Daphnia pulex: one gene and its partner. The protein of the gene in region 1 binds, or shares a complex with, the protein of each later gene. Links are inferred from orthologs where the notes say so. Each region holds a gene or a part of one and is shown on either strand. Other genes may lie near its edges.

Region 1 (3,758 bases):
TTCCTCGTCCAGGATAACAGTAGCGTTATCTATTTTACAGAGAGAAAAGAAAAAAATGCAAACACTGACAACAATAAAAGTGACGAGAACACAGTATACATACCCTTTTCATTACGATCGACATCCATGCTGTCGTCGGAACCTTGATCGTTTTCACGTTCCAGAACATTCCATCCACCGCGTTCTTGAAGACGCTCAGCCTCCCTTTTTCGCTCTTCTTTTTCTTGATTTCTTCTGCGTTCTTCTGCCAACTGTCGCTCGAAATCCTATTGCCAAAACAGAAACGCAATTAATTAAAGTCAAAACCAAAAAAAAAAAAACATTCATGCAATGAATTACCATTAACTCATCTTCGTCTTCATCACGATTGCCTGCCATACCATAGGTTGGTATGTCACCAAGAGTACGACAGAATTCTGCTGTGGCATTCAGTATGATACTACTCTTCAGAGGATCCTCTTCCATACCTTCCGTTTCTTCCAAAGGCTCGCGTTTTAATGACCGCGTAATCATGTTCATGTCCCACTGATCAGCCTTCCTTTCTTTTAGTTTATTAGCTTTTAATAGTGCCTGACGTATTTCTTTTTGGGATTCGTCTACAGTAATCTTGAATCCGCTTAAATCTGGCGTTGGATAAACAAGACATAATAAGTAATAATAAAACAATATACTAGTCAAACTAAAATACCTTCTGTGACCTCTTCATCCATTCTCTTCTTTCGAGATCTCGATCCCAAGTCTGACGAAGTTGTTTCTTGCGTTTCTTGAATAAGATCGTCAGCTTTTAAAATGCCGTCGCCTTTGGATCGAACCTTTTTGACGCGACGTTTAACTTTTTTGAAGGAAACCATTTCTTCTGCTGTATAATATTCAGATGCAATTTGGAGCGGTCGCGATTCCAGTGATTCAATTTTCTTCTGTTGCATTTTGAGTTTGTCTTTCATCAACTTTTGGGCTTTCATTTTGGCTTCTTCATCTCCAATTTTACCTAGAATTTTAACATAAATATTTTTGTAAAGATCAACAAAACAAATCTAATATTTTACCTAGGACAAAGCTATCATGTTTTTCTCCTTCTATTTCTGTGTCATATTTAGCAAGCAAGAGCTTTGGTTTGGGAAGGCCCAATTCATCAACTTCTTCCTCTTCATAGGGCTGATATCCCGGTCTCTGTTTCTTGATTTCATTGTTCTTTTTGTAGCGTTCTATATCAACAAGGTTGACATTCACCAAAACATCCCCTTCCTCTTGCAAGATGTTTTGATCTTTAAGAGTCAATACTACTTCTTTCCCTTCAGCTATCATTTCCTAACAAAATAAAGCAACATCAACACAGGTATTCAAATAAAAGTATACGTTGTCGGTGACTTACCCGGTCATGTTCTACTTTTATTCCTCGTAAGTCTCTACTTGTGTATGCTTTTGCTTTTTGTTTAATCAGTTCAGTAGTTACCATATCTCCTACACCAAATGCTTCATCCATTTCTTCAAGCATTTTTGCTCTTTTATTAGCTTCTTCCTTTTCTTTCTGAATCCTTCTTGATTTTTCAACCCAGCTAACAGCATTGTCATCATCATCAGCTGTTGTATGAGCAAGAGTGCGCACTTGTGCAAGCTTTTGTTCTATTTGCCTCTTTTCTCGTCTTTCATCTAGTTTTCGTCTCAACTCTTCTGTGGCTTTCTTTTCACGGAGGTTCTCTAGAGAAATACCACATTTAAATTGTACAAGTAAAGACATTTAAATGAAATCATTACCTGCTGGGACATGAACATCCTTTTTCTCAGTACTGGCTTCAACATTTGAATTTTCTCCTCCAATCTCCAATGGCTTCAAACCAAGTTCAGCTCTTATTCTGTTGGTTTCCTCAATCGAAATGGAAGTATCATTGGTTGAATTAGCAACTGGTCTTTCATCATTCCCTTTTCCTTAAAAAAAATTATTGGTTACTAGTTACTAATAAACATAATTTTGAATACATACCTGTCAACAGTTCTTCGCTCTGAATGTTGAGACTTATATCTTCCTTTATTTGTTTGGATTTGACGGAGGCATAACTTTTTGAATGTGATCTTGACGGAGACCTAGATGGGGAACGATGTCTTCTTTTTCGAAAATTATTATGATCGCGACTTTCTTTTCGGTCCATGTCTCCTTAAGAACTGAAAGAAAGTAGTTTAACTTAGGTGGGAAGTTTTGATTTCTTTAAACATAAAATTTTTTTCAATAGAATTCCTTAAAATATCAAACAATAAAAGTAGGGTACCAGAATCTGTATTCACTTAATGATCTTGCAACAATTTTACTTCAGAACTTGAGAACTGAGAAGCAGACTTCAGCTTTTGCAATATTTATTTTGATGCCGTTGGGTGTTGGTAAATTGCTAAATGCGGGATTGGAAAGCGGGGACAAATACAAATCCATTGATTCCGCAACAGATGGCGTGTTAATCCTCCTATTGAATAAAACTTAAAAAAAGAAAACAGAAGATAAATTTATCCGTAAATCAATAAAGGAAAAACATAATGAAAACATTAAGGCCAGTATAGTTTTTAACTATTTGTTTTACATGTGAAGACTTGTGCGGCAAAACCAAAAGTCCAAAACGAACAATGTCGTTGTCGATTTTTGTTTATACTAAGGGTTCCAAGATTCCGCACCAGGTTCGCTAGTGAGGTAGGCTGATCGCCTCAAAGACTATAGATGTTATTCCAATGAAAAAGTAGTAGTCGAACAAAAAGTCCTGCGCAGTTTACGCCGATGCGCACCACTGCGGCCGATAGCAGAACCAGAGCAATAGATGCCTGGTCGGTTCTCGGCTGTGTTGGCTTCCCTATCCCGGTTTTAGGGTAAACGTATCCCCGATTTTCAGACATTTTAGGGCGGAGCTTGTCAGAATTGTGAAGTAGAAACTGGAAACAGAGCCATCTAGGCTCTCAAAAGTAGCTAAGCGTAGTAGCTGACACACTCACTAGAGCGCTCATTCCAGTTTCCAAATCGGACCACGTTTACCCTGAATATAGGGTCTGTTGGGGTGACCACCCCCTCTCGATTTTCGCAGCGCTAGGTGGCTTATAGGATGAAGCCCGGCATGGCCGAAAAACGAAGAAATTTTTAGAAATTTTTTCAAAAATTTCAATCGTTAATATCTCGGCTTCTGAGCCGAGCATCGAAAAAACATGAAAATTGTTTGAAGAGGTGGGCTATCCCATCATTATGAAACAATTCGAATATTTCCAGGTGCAGCAGTTGACGAGAAAACTGCTGCACAAAAAACGAAAAAAATTCCAAATTTCGGCTACCCCCTCTCAGTTTTTTTAAAAAAATCTCCCAAATTACAAAAGCTAGGCGATTGCGGTTTTCAGCAATCGACTTAGCGAAAAATTTTGCACAAAACCCATCTATTTGTTAATTTTTAGAACCCCTAGCGACGATTTCCGCTAAATCAAAAACGGCCTCTTTGAGTGGCGAATCGCTTGTTGAATCGTTAGGAATATTGCTCAATTCCAGTTCGAAGTTGCCTAATTCCAGTTACGACAAAAACAGCAAGATAGAGTTGCATTTTGGTTCGGAGAAATAAACTGGTAATACTGTGTTGTTTTTTGGTGGTATATCTTCGTTCCATCCAAATATTTCTCTGTGCAGAGTGACTGGCAAGTTCGATTCAAGAACATACAACAACATCCTCAAAGAACATATTCTTCCTTTTTGCAAGATGAAATCAACTAGACATATTGGTGTAGTACATGACTGGTAATCT
Region 2 (2,551 bases), on another chromosome or scaffold:
TCAAACAGAAAACCAGCCGACATCAGAAACAGCCTTAACCTTATCGCCATAAATTGTTGATTTTCTAACATGGCCATAACCTTATTTGCTCCTGTTTAATTGTCACGTTAAGAGTGATCTTGACTTTAATACAGAATCACACCTCTATCTGCCACCTCTGCTGTAACTTGTAAGCTGACAGTATGAAAGTCTCTATCTAATGACATGTAACATTTTTCTCTTACAGTTTTTAACCTTAAGGAATGGTAGATCATTTGATTGACACTTACCCCAAGACAAAGTGATTGGCTGGACTCAATTGGATTCCATTATTCAAAAGTGGCAGCTGGCAGGATCAGACTCAACGATACAGCAGAGCAGGCTACTATCCAGGATCAGTTCAATTTTAACCTGAAGAAAAAAGATTTCCCATTTAAAAAACTCGTTTACTGTTCGGTGTAGATAGACAGAAAATTTGAAATATCAAAAGAATCGTTCTTTTCAGATTGTCAGGCCGCGACGACTAAGATGAGTGGAGGGAATCGTGATAGGAATCTATCAAATATCGTATTGTTCTTTTTGTTGTTGGCATTCAATAAATTGACCAGCTCCTCATGAACACCAATACAGTGTCGGAATAGTATCAAGTAATCTGATTTCGTCTTATAGAATTCAAATCAAGCAGAGTTACATCGAAACTTGACTCATCATATTGCCTGCAAATGTGGGACCGTTGCCAGTCCATCTCCGGTCCAAACTGATGAGGCTTTCAATAAATCCACAGTAAAAAAAAACGCCATCTAAAATATTCAATGAATGGAAAAATAATTATAAAGAAAAGATTTGAAAAAAAGAGTGGTTAAAATATTCATTGAAATCAATATTTGGCACCGGTGCTGCGCTATTCCGATTTTGATTTTTACAACATTGCAGACGACTCTATTGTTTTCTGTACACCAAACCCAAACGGCAAAAATGGCAGCCGTAAGTATTTAATTTACTAAATGAATTAGTGGTCTATAATCCCAAGACATGAAATGACAAGCACTGAATATATTTAAGCTATGAATAATGTCTGAAAAACATTGATCTGCCTGTCGTAAATTGGGTACAATTAATAGCAATGCGTCACGTCACTCATGGCTTTTATTGGCTACTGCTTTAGAATTACATCATTCTGGGTTTTGCTAATAACGTTATTCATTTCCTTTCTTTTTAGCAAAAGGTCGATAAATCCACACCGGCAACAGGTAGCCCAGCAGATTTAAAGGAGAAGAAGAAGGAAAGAATCTTGGACTTGTCCCGTTACATGGACAAGTTGATCAGAGTCAAGTTTACCGGAGGCAGAGAGGCAGCTGGTATACTTAAAGGTTACGATCCTCTACTCAACATTGTCCTGGACAACACGGTAGAATATCTAAGAGGTAAGACTTGAGAACTACCACAAATTGTATGTGAAACAAGATTGACTTAAAATTCCTGTTATGTCTTGTATTTCTAGATTCGGAAGATTCATTCAAGTTGTCAGAAGACACCAGACAGTTGGGCTTGGTGGTTTGTCGTGGAACAGCTGTTGTTCTCATCTGCCCTGCTGACGGTATGGAAGCCATTGCCAACCCTTTCATTCAACCAGAATAATTGATTTTTTTTTTCTAAATTGAACCAATGATCATTTGTCTGTGTGTTGTTTCCCAATTTTCCAATAATAAAAGAACGAGAAAAAGGTGAAATAGTATAATAATATTATTAAAATCCTTCAAAAAAACGGATAGGTAAAAGAACACGGATCGACAATGATAATAATACGATGATTTGAATAAATGATTCAATTTTTATGCAATTATATAGCAGTAATGCAAAACAGAATTATATTTTTAGAAGGCGATTAGAAAAGAGCCTACGAAGGTCGAATTCATATTTATGTACTTTTAAGTGTAGGAAAATTGGAGAGGCACCGTCTCATCTTTCTGTGTGAATGTCACAACATTCGGCCGTCAAACGAACTGGACAACGTGAAATGAATCGAGAGGAAAATTCTAAAGGCAATGATAATAACTGATGTTCAAATCTCAATCGGTGACAAAAGAGTCGGAATCGAATTCAGCTTCGACGGCCCGACTTCCAGTCGAACGGAGTGTGGAGCCGGAAATGACGGGCGAAGGAACAATTTCCCACTCGCCGAATGACAAGGCAGAATCGTTTTGTTGCTGGACGAACGGGTGGAAGCTGCTCAGCGTCACCTGACTTCCAGGTTGGCCTGAATAAGAAATCAAAATTAAGAAAAAACAAACAAACAATTGAAAGTGAGTCGACAGCGGTTGATACCCGGTGAATGGTCGCTCATGGTGACGAAACGTTGACTTGGCGACGAAGAAATGTCCGCCTCGCCATTGTTACTCAAGTCGTGCTGCAACTGGCACTGGTGCAATTTGTCCAGCTGCGATTCTAGACTGAGAATGTCGTTGACCAAGGCGCAGTGATGGAAATAGACGGGCGGATGTCCACCACCGCGGACGTCGAGAACCGGAATCCACCGCAAGTAGCACTGACTCCACAGACGGAAGTCGACGAA

What was found. Proteins that work in one complex are often made in the same cells at the same time.
Region 2: U4/U6.U5 tri-snRNP-associated protein 1-like (region 1) and U6 snRNA-associated Sm-like protein LSm7 share a complex: the UniProt entries of both Homo sapiens proteins name them as parts of the U4/U6-U5 tri-snRNP complex. The link is inferred for Daphnia pulex from reciprocal best matches to the Homo sapiens genes SART1 and LSM7.

The regions. Positions count from the first base shown.
Region 1 is NC_060026.1:10,447,692-10,451,449, reverse strand, and holds the start of U4/U6.U5 tri-snRNP-associated protein 1-like, read right to left. Parts: upstream 2,594-3,758; 5' UTR 2,568-2,593; intron 2,467-2,567; 5' UTR 2,265-2,466; intron 2,184-2,264; exon of another isoform or gene 2,161-2,183; 5' UTR 2,148-2,160; coding exon 1,982-2,147; intron 1,927-1,981; coding exon 1,756-1,926; intron 1,699-1,755; coding exon 1,373-1,698; intron 1,309-1,372; coding exon 1,047-1,308; intron 989-1,046; coding exon 689-988; intron 624-688; coding exon 340-623; intron 267-339; coding exon 104-266; intron 30-103; coding exon 1-29. UniProt on the Homo sapiens protein: Plays a role in mRNA splicing as a component of the U4/U6-U5 tri-snRNP, one of the building blocks of the spliceosome. May also bind to DNA.
Region 2 is NC_060025.1:134,802-137,352, reverse strand, and holds U6 snRNA-associated Sm-like protein LSm7, read left to right. Parts: upstream 1-864; 5' UTR 865-954; coding exon 955-963; intron 964-1,198; coding exon 1,199-1,403; intron 1,404-1,480; coding exon 1,481-1,617; 3' UTR 1,618-1,984; downstream 1,985-2,551. Other genes in the region: XK-related protein 7-like, read left to right, coding at 1-52; myotubularin-related protein 10-B-like, read right to left, coding at 2,049-2,236, 2,305-2,551. UniProt on the Homo sapiens protein: Plays a role in pre-mRNA splicing as component of the U4/U6-U5 tri-snRNP complex that is involved in spliceosome assembly, and as component of the precatalytic spliceosome (spliceosome B complex).